2 linked regions of the Caenorhabditis elegans genome follow. The protein of the gene in region 2 interacts with the protein of the main gene of each other region in a pairwise test. Each region holds a gene or a part of one and is shown on either strand. Other genes may lie near its edges.

Region 1 (5,206 bases), on a different chromosome or scaffold from region 2:
AAGATGAAATTTAACATAGTTGTCGTATACATAGATAGGTAGTTTTTATAATACATAAGAAGCAGAAACTCTTCTGTTTCTGAAAAAAAAATTGGGTCGGTCCAACGGATAGACACTATCTCGAGAACGAGTTTGGTTAAGATATTACTTAACTTTCTGAAAATTTTATTATTTGTTCCTCAATGCCATTACTTCACAAATTAATAAAATCACTTTAATTTTCGTTTTCACAACTTTTCAAATTTCCACGCGACCTTCCATATTCTCAAAAAAAAACATCAGCTGATAAAATCTTAACACGTGTAAAACAGAACGTCCGAATCAATCGATTAGAATTTGTTCTGATTTAAAACCAAGTCAAGTGCAGCCGCAATGGGAGTCGAAATTTCGTTGGATCCACCAGTGTGCCCAATCCAGGCCAATGGAGGAGTTTCGAAGCACAAGATGATCAATCATACCGATCGCCATATGGCTTATAAGGTTGGTTCTTTATTTGCCGGAAAACTGGTCAATTGAAAATACCATGTCAGGTAAAATCCTCAAACAACTCAAACTACAGCGTCAACTTAATCTATGGAATCTTGAAAGTTTGCGATGTCAAGGAATTGGTCATCACCAGAAAGGTATAAATTTTCTAAATCTAGGAACACAATCTATTACGAAGCCGTTTAAAGATGAAAGTTTGGGTCTCACCACGCTGACAATAAGTTACTGTACTTCGCAACGTTTTGCTCCACTATTGCATTATAACTTTCATATCGAATGAAATAGTGCTTCCAAATTTTTTTAATCAACGTATGATACAATCGCGACCCATAAAATGACACGAGTTACAGTAGCCCTTTGTCAGCATGGTGAGACCCATGCGCGGAAGATATGGCGGAAATTCTCATTCTTGGACTTCTATGTAATAATTTTCATTGAAATTTCAGCCTGGAAAGCCACAAGCCGACAAGTTGATCATCCAGTACTGTATGGTAGTTGATGAGAACACGGATCCAAAACCATTGTTCGCAAATGGAGTGCCACCAGGAGAGCTTTCTGGAGAGACAGTCATCAAGTTGTCTGCTGCCGAATGAATAATACACCAAAGAAAAACAAGATATTTTTAAACTGAGCATTGTATGTAAAAATGAAGATTGGAATTTTTGTTCTGGGTGTTTATTATTATTAGTAAGATAATTCTCACAGAGAAAAAACAGCTAAACGTTCGATAAAATAATTAATCTGAATCGTCTGACGAGTTTCCGTATTCTTGAGCAATAAGTGAGATTGGGTTTGAAATGTTTGGCTTCTCCACTGCAGGTTCTTCATCTTGGAGACTTGAGTTTTCCGGAGCGGCTTTTTTAATTTGAACACCCAGAGACGAAGCTGATTTTCTCTTGATTCCTAAAAGTTTCTGAGTCGCGGATGATGTTCCAGCAGTTGAAAATGAGGCATTGATTCGTTTATCTCTCTCTGCTTTCATTGTAGCCTTCAATCGTTCGGAAGCGGATGGAACAGCGCCTCCAGAAGATCCAGAAGACGTGGATGGTGTGTCAGTTTCTTCCGGTCGTCTGAAGATCCTACGTGATTCGATTCGATCGCGGGAAGATTCGAGGTGATCATCGTGAGCTGTAATTTAATAGTTTTTATTGAACAGGAATTAAAAGCTGTAAATATTTTTTAATGATATAAAAGAAGCAAAAACTCACTTTTTGTATCTCGATATCTTGTCATCATAGACGCTATCCGTCGATCCTCTTCTGTTTCTGGTAATAATTGAGTCGTTCCAATGGATAGTTTATCACGAAGATTCGCATCTCGAGCACGAGTTTCGTTGAGGGATTTCTTCTCGTTCTGAAAATTGAAGAAAAATTAATAAATTTTTTGAAAATTTTCAAAGAATTAAAAAAAAAATCAACTGCATTTCCCAAAAATGGATTTTAAAAAGCCAAAAAAACCTACCCTAAACTGTGCTCTCAAAAACGAATTTGCTGTAAAATCGTCTCTCATTCTCTCTTGAATCCATTCCAACTTATCAACTCGTCCTTCTTCAGTAGCTGCTTTATCTTTATCTTCTGCTTCATGTTCTTTTTTAAACATTGCGTCTGCTGCGAGTTTCTGAGTAAAACCACGATCAACTGCTCCGATTTGTGCAATGTCGGTTGGATCGAAACGAAGTTCCTGTCGTGAGCATCCTTCCACTAGTTCGTAGTCGAAATTCTGAAGTTATGATTTTTTTTGAAGATTTTTGAAGATAAAATTAGAAATTTGAATTATATTTTTTTAAAGACTACATCCACTTCTTAAGTTAGAAAATACCTTTGGATCGGTCCGAATCACATAATAATTATCACAAAGATGGCATTTCATTCGAAATTCGTGAAGCGGTGTCGTGTAGTACATTCCAATTTTCTTTTTTTCTGCATTGTACCGTACTCCCATTCCAACATGATTATGACATCCAAGACACCAAATATTGAATGGCATTTCGAAACGGATCACCAAAATTCCTTGGTCAATCTTTTTGGCACGTTCGCGAAGCGCGTGGGTTCCATGATATCCATTTAAAGATTTGTGGGTTTTGTAATTGAAATCCGGCGGATAGTAGAAGTTTTGTCCTTTACGCTCTCCCATCTATAATTGGAATAAGTTTTACGTTTTCCAGAACAGAATAAAATTGGTATAAGAAGTAAAGACTTGTAAATAATAAAAACAGCTACACAACTGTTGAGGAGTTAAATTTTTTGAAAAGAAGGTAAAGAAAAATATTTATGAAAGTTAGTCAAAATGCAATAAAAGGGTACTCGTAGGTTTTTGTACATTGGGTAAAATCTGTGGAAAATGAATTATATCAAACTAAAATGGGTACTTCAACAAAAATAACAAAATTAGAACTTTTCTTAATTATCCACACCAAGCGCATGTGCTTCTAACGAGTTGAATCCTGTCTTTTTAGTCAATCGATCAATCGATTCTTTCGACAATTTCGGTTTTTCAGTTCTCGTATGCCACACATACACTTTCGTGCACATTTCCGCAAGTGGTTCCATATTATAACGATGAATTCCAAGATTTTCAAGAAAAGTAGATTCTTGATATCCACGAGGCACGTCGAATGAGAAAAGAGCGTTCGCGTTGGAGAGAACCAGAGAAATATTGACTGCAAATGCAGCCATATCGATCGGAAATGGACGCTCCGGTTTCCAGACAGCGTTGAAATGGGAAATCGATCCTAAAAAGATGTATTTAAAATTTAAGCAAGGACTGGTTATGAAAATTAAAACCTAGTTCAAATAAATTAAGGAAATATTTAAAAACCGTACCATTTTTCTCTAAAATTGGCGTTTCTACAAACATTCCACCAACTATTCCAACTGGCCAAACTCCTGCATTTTTCACTTTCCGCATTTCTCCGAAAATTTTCAGATCATATGTGTTATCATCATCTCCAAAGTACACAACGCCCTCTTTCACACCACTCAATTGATTTTGAATCCATAAAAGTGCTCGATTTCGTTGCTCAACGCCACGTGGCAACGTCCAATTGGGGTCATCGTATCTCATTTTTTGATCAGACGGAGTTCGAGCATTTAGATGTGTATTTGGAATTTTTGATCTTTTCAGAATTCCGGCGATGGATGGTGTGAGTTCATCGGAATCTTCTACAACGATCCAATGGAGGTTGGGAACATGGGAAAGCGTGTAGGATAGACGAGTGAGATCGGCTCGCTGAGCAGCGCGGAAATGTGTTGGAGTTATAAAATAAATGAAAGGCGTTGAACGATTAACACGTGGCAGGAGGGAAAGATGATCGCGTATTCTGTAATTATATTCTTAGAAGAATAAATACTTTTAAAAAATCTTACTGTGTATCAATCTCCTCAACTTTCCCATTTAATCGAACCAAATTTCGTTCTTTTTCGAATATCTGCGTTCTTAACCCGTCGCTTTTTCGTGTCAAAACTTCTATCTGAAAATTATTACTGAAATTTTGATAAAAGTGACATTTTAGTTACAGAAAAACAGTTGAAACATAAAAATAAACTCACGGTAGCTTGCAAAGTGGCCCGTTCTTCTTCCAAACTTTGTACCCGATTAATTGCATAAAATAGTTGCCAAACGAAGAAAATAACAAGTGCAATAAATGCTCGGAGCCACCATTTTTCTAGTAATCTAGATGGAAACATTATGTCGGTGCGGCGACAGGTCGAACAGTTTCATTTGGTTTATTTATCCCTGAAAAATTGAAATTTGGAAGTTCAAAAAGTGATCGACAAAGCACTATTTTAAGCCGGATTTGACGTATGTGGGATTTTTTAATTACAAAACACAAAAATCGGAAAAGTTTGTAACAAAAACGCAGAGTATTAATGAAAAGAAATACCAAAAAAATTTAAGGAAAAGAAAATCTCTCAATTCGCATCCAATAAAAATCAATAACTCTCACAGTAATTTAAAGGCGCAGTACTAAAAGTTTGAACGGGTCTCGCCACGCTATATTAAAGGCACATACAAAAGTTTGAATTTTATTGTTTTCAAAAGTTTTTCTCCGGTTTTTGATTGGTTTTTTGATTTTTCAACGCTTTTATCGCCATTTATTTTTTATCATTGTGCTTTTAAAAGTGTTTTCCTAATTAAAGAACGCGCTGCTCTATCATAAAACAATATTGTTGTTAGAAAAGACATAAATAGAACGAGAAAAATTCCTTCTCTAAAATAATATATGTTTCGAAACTTTTCCACTAAAAAATCAATATTATCCAAAGAAAAGAGCGAAATAGTCACGTGAAGCGGCGCACACCCGTGCCTGTGTCTCCATTCTCTCACATTTACCCCAAGGGTCGTTCGTTCCACGTTTTAGTCGAAATTCTCCTCAAAAAGCAGTTTTTTGTTACTTTCTGAAATGTGCATTTTGCCAATCTGATAACATGTTTGCTATTCTTGATTTTCCGTCACTTTTGACGGATTTTGACAGTTATAATACTAAAAAGCTGATAAGAAATCGAAATTGTAATGGATAAAAACAAAAAATGCTCCGATATTTTTGGAAATTTTTCTGAAAAAAATTCAAACCCATTTTCTATCCCTTCCGTTCACCCACCTGCATCAAAAAGGTGTTATTAAATAAGCAGTCGGGACCTCATTGGAAGTGACCTGGTACCGACGGACACTGCTGCGTACACACAAAACCGACAGTGTCTGTCCTCCCTCTTGGTGTAAT
Region 2 (4,693 bases):
CCGGACATCAATTCATTCACGTTTTGTCCTGAAGCCTCGCTCAGTGCGGTCCACAAATCTTGAGTAACTGCATTCGAATATTGGAATCTCTTCAAATAGAGGCGAAGTCCTTTTTGAAAAACTGGCTCCGATAGATAATAGCAGAGCATGCGGTTGACTGAATTGGATTTGGCGTAAGTGATCGAATCGTAAATCTCATCAAGCTCATTCGGATTATCAATTTCAACTTCGATTGGATGAGAGTTTCGAAGTGCATCAAGTCCCATTCCAGACGCGAGTTCATCATTCAGGAAATGAAGCCAGATCTTGAACTCTGGACAGTTAGCGCCAACGAACATGTATTCCATGAATGATGCAAATCCTTCTTTAAGCCAAAGATCAGTCCACCATTTCTGAAAAGAATGAATATATATGTTTATTAGTTGAAAATTCCCTACCATAGTCACAAGATTTCCGAACCATAAATGAGCCAACTCGTGAGCAACGACTAAAGCAACTCTAGACTTTTGTCTGGTGGACGTGACTCCTGGATCAACAAGAAGAGCGATTTCACGATACGTGACAAGTCCCCAGTTCTCCATCGCACCCATTGAGAAGTCCGGAATAGCAATCAGGTCACATTTTGGAAGAGGGTATTTGATGTCGAACCACTCATTGTACCAGTCAATGCACCTGAAAATTAGAAATTGAAACTTCATTTGAATTATTACTGAAAATTCAGCTAAAATTATTCTTTAAGATAACTCACTTCACAGAAAGATCCAAACTGTATTGACCTTGTTCTTTCTTTCCAGGTACAGTATACACACGCATCTCAACTCCGCTTTTCGTTTGTGCACTGATATATTCCAGCTCACCAACGGCGAAAGCGACGAGATACGATGACATCTTTGGTGAAGTTGCAAATGTAACTGCCTTTCTCTTTCCATCAGCAGTCGGTGTTTCGGAGATTACATTCATATTGGAGAGAGCGGTCAGATGATTTTCTACTTCCAAAGTAACGTCGAAAGTTGCCTTGTAAATTGGCTCATCGAAACATGGGAATGCATAGCGAGCATAAGTCGACTCAAACTGAGTTGAAGCCAAGAACTTTTCGGTGCCGTTCTTATCCTTGTACTGACTGCGATAAAATCCTCGCATCTTATCGTTCAGTTCACCGACAAACTTGAAGTCGAGCTGAACCTTCTGTGGCTGCATGGTAGTCGGAAGCTTGATAGTCAAAATATTGAGCTTATCGTCGTAGCTAGTTTCGAGAGATTTAGAAGCGTCTCCTGGCTGAGTGATAAGCGATACCGACTGAATCAGCAAACTCTGTGCATGCACCTTCAAGACATCAGTAGCTTCTTTGATTGTGACGTCAATCGTTGCATGACCATCGAAAGAGAATCTGAAAAACAAGAATTAGAACTTGAAGTGGTTTTGTTGCAAATTTAAACTACATATCAACATTTATTACTGCCGTCCTAGCTAAACTGAAATATTATTACAGAACTTACTGGTTGAGGCATGGCGATAAACGGACGTTGTAATGAGTTGGTTCGGCGAATGTTGGAAGCCTCTCAAATTTGACCGCCGCGCTTGGGTTTCCACAGGCCGCCATTCTGAAAAGTTTTATTAATAAAATGAATTTTTGACACAACTAAATTGAAAGAAAGAGAAGGATATCACAAATGAAAAAAAACACTACTAGGAATGGCGGGAAATGTGGAAAGGAGTTTCTGATTGGAATAAAAAATTAAGAGACGACTGTAACGTTATGCTCCGTGGCATCATCTTGCTTTAATCCTTTAGCTTCTGATGCTTTTTCTTGCTCAAAAGTGTCGAGCGATTCAGGAGTGAAAGCAAATGGAAGAAGAGCGCGAGTTGAGGTGATGAGAATTTTATTGTTAGATGCAGTTCCCACAACAACCTGCAACGATGACAGTGAAAAATTAAGAAGCTCTAGTTTTCTTACTTTATAGTCACCGAATTCAACTAGAAATTGACGGCAAAGTCCACAGGGAGACGCAGGTTCGCTGAGCTCAGTGACGACAGCAATGGCACGGAATTTCGTGTATCCTTGTGACACAGCAGAAACAATAGCACTACGCTCAGCGCAGATAGTGCCACCGTATGAAGCATTCTCGACATTGCAGCCTACAGAAAATGCTAGAAACTTCAAAAATGCATGTTGCGAAACTGAGAAGCCCGCAGACATCTCGAGTTATGCAACGACAAGAAATCACAAATTACCCTGGACAATTTCCCCAGATTCAGTGAGAAGCGCTGCACCAACTGGAAACTTGCTGTATGGGCAATGTGCCCGTTTCATCGCAGCTCGGGCCAAATGAACTAGTTCCACATCGGAAATATCTTGAGGAAGACTATTCGCGGCCATCTGTAGTTAACTATGACAAAAGTGCATGAAATGAGAAGCGAATGAGGCGAATTAAATTATTAGAAGAACAGAGAACAACATTGATGAGAAAAGTTAGCAATACACAAAAGAATTTGCGTTGTGGAACGCATGCAAAGTGACGTTAAATCCCATATTCAGTGAACGGGTCGCGTTATATTTAAAAAAAACATGACAAAATGGGAACTTTGCAACTATTTTTCAGCCTCAACTTCGAGAATTGGTGAAATGAAAAATCCACGGGACATTTTTGCGCGCGCGCGGCCCGAGAAGTGGTACCTGTACGCAATTTGTCTACCGTATACCTGGACGTTTGGGCGCGTGTATCTCAAAAACGGTTGGTCCAGTTTTTTTGTGATGCATATAAATAATGTCCGAAATTAAATTCTAAATTTTTTGGACCAAAGCTTTTTTCATTATCACGCGCCCAAACCTGGTCTACACTCAAATTATCAGTAGAGCGCATTTGCATAGATGTACCACTTGCCGGGCCGTGGCGCGCGCGCGCATTACAAAAGTCAAAAAAATGCGCGAGCGTGTTTGCGTATCTCATTGCGTACTCCAGCGTACCGTAGTTTGTCGACCACGAACGTTCGTTCGCGAACGAATTCGAACTCAATTCAAACTTGTCTCTCTTTTTATAACAATGCCGAAATCATTGCGAAAACGGTTTGTACTTGTGAGTATCGATGATAACATCGAACAAATTAATGCTGCACGAAAGCTTCGTCGCTATTTGGTGAGTTTTTTCTTTAATTATTCTTCCTAATTCATATTTTTAGACGAACAATCACTTGAATCACATTTTCTCGTCAACTCCGGAAGAAATGAAAGAATATTTGGATAAATTGGACAGTGGAACTTTTAATTTTCGAGAAACAGCCGAGGAACAGAAATCGGTTGATCCGTTTTCGGAAGCAAACCAACCCGCCATTCAGATGTCTTCAAACCAAGAAATATTAGAGAAATGGGCGGTAAGGATTGAATAACTCGAATATTGTTCGAAAATAATAAAAAGTATTTCAGCGCGGAACTTTCGCCGAAAACTCGGATGCGTTGAAACTTTTGCTCGAGCCAACTAACATCGAGGAAGATGCAGTTTTGGATGATCACGAATCAGAGAACATTGTAAACAGTAAGAGTTCGTTCATTTAATTTTTAATATTTCGCTGATAACAGATATTCCGCAATTGTTTATGGTAAACTCAATGGATGCTGAAACACCAAATGACTCGATAATCGTTGAAAACGGAAAGGAAGATCAACTTGATATGGCATATTGTTCGGTGAGACCCCGACAATTGCGTCAGATTCAACTACAATTTTCAGCTGTGCAAGCATGAAGTGGAAACCGGTAGAAACCGAAATACAAAAATTAGGAAACAGACTGAACATGTTCTAGACGCCCACCCAGAATCGGAATTTCTCAATGTAGACATAGCAAAACGCTATGAGTGTGTCCACTGTTTGAGAACTCTTCCTGTGTCGAAATCACCATGTGAACATATTTCTGAACACCACGATAAAACCCACGTGGAAATTGAATTTCGTGACTTATGGTAGGAAAATCACATTGAAGAAATGCTTTTAAAAATTCGATTCAAATTTAGGTCCAATGAGCAAGTGTCAACTTTCAATTCAGTTATGGAAAAATGCTTCTTGCGTCATCTTCCAGTTCCCAGAAGCCGTAGAATTCGAAACGGAAACACCTGGTATCTCTCCGAAAAGGCCTCGTACAGAATTGTTCGAGGAGGTGAAATTATCCATATCAGCACTGTGGCTGATAAAAGCAAAACAGATGTGAGTTGTTGAAAAAAGGTTTTTGTAAATATTTCAAAAACATAGAAATAAGCTTTTGGAGAAAAAATTAATAGAAACTGGAAGAAGTCGTGAAGCCTATCAGTAGAATGAAATGTTTCAGAATGACACAATGTAAGATCATTAGATTTTTCGTGGAAATTGCTTTAGATTGGTGTGAAAATGATAAACATAACAGACGTATAGACAAATAGGGTGAATGACGTTAGAACCCACCCTTCCATTTTCGATAACGAAAAAGGATAGTTAGAGGTTGGCACTTCGAGACACTATTGTCATCAAAAACACATACACACACCGGGACGCAGAACTGACCCGTGTTCGCCTCTTGCCGTGCGATGGAGCATGTTTGCTGTTGTGTGGTAGGGACGGCACTGGGCGCCGGCGACAAATGAAAGACGTCGGATGGCCGAAAAATTGCGCAGGCAAAGCTGATGAGTGTTGACGGGCTTGATGGATGCTGTAAAAATGTTAGAATGA

The links. Proteins that work in one complex are often made in the same cells at the same time.
Region 1: the proteins of cdd-2 (region 2) and ZK1307.9 interact in a two-hybrid assay, tested with the Caenorhabditis elegans proteins (one large-scale study listed by BioGRID).

Annotation. Positions count from the first base shown.
Region 1 is NC_003280.10:9,646,904-9,652,109, reverse strand, and holds ZK1307.9 (Coiled-coil domain-containing protein 130 homolog), read right to left. Parts: upstream 2,620-5,206; coding exon 2,305-2,619; intron 2,206-2,304; coding exon 1,948-2,205; intron 1,840-1,947; coding exon 1,695-1,839; intron 1,615-1,694; coding exon 1,223-1,614; 3' UTR 1,148-1,222; downstream 1-1,147. Other genes in the region: ZK1307.4 (motile sperm domain-containing protein), read left to right, coding at 373-480, 531-623, 933-1,079; Galactosylgalactosylxylosylprotein 3-beta-glucuronosyltransferase sqv-8, read right to left, coding at 2,886-3,217, 3,309-3,805, 3,852-3,955, 4,035-4,172.
Region 2 is NC_003282.8:7,545,517-7,550,209, forward strand, and holds cdd-2 (Cytidine deaminase), read right to left. Parts: upstream 2,378-4,693; coding exon 2,233-2,377; intron 2,137-2,232; coding exon 1,955-2,136; intron 1,910-1,954; coding exon 1,736-1,909; 3' UTR 1,602-1,735; downstream 1-1,601. Other genes in the region: pam-1 (Puromycin-sensitive aminopeptidase), read right to left, coding at 1-392, 438-672, 749-1,387, 1,497-1,601, 4,529-4,673; oef-1 (C2H2-type domain-containing protein), read left to right, coding at 3,042-3,134, 3,178-3,369, 3,422-3,530, 3,575-3,681, 3,725-3,954, 4,006-4,195.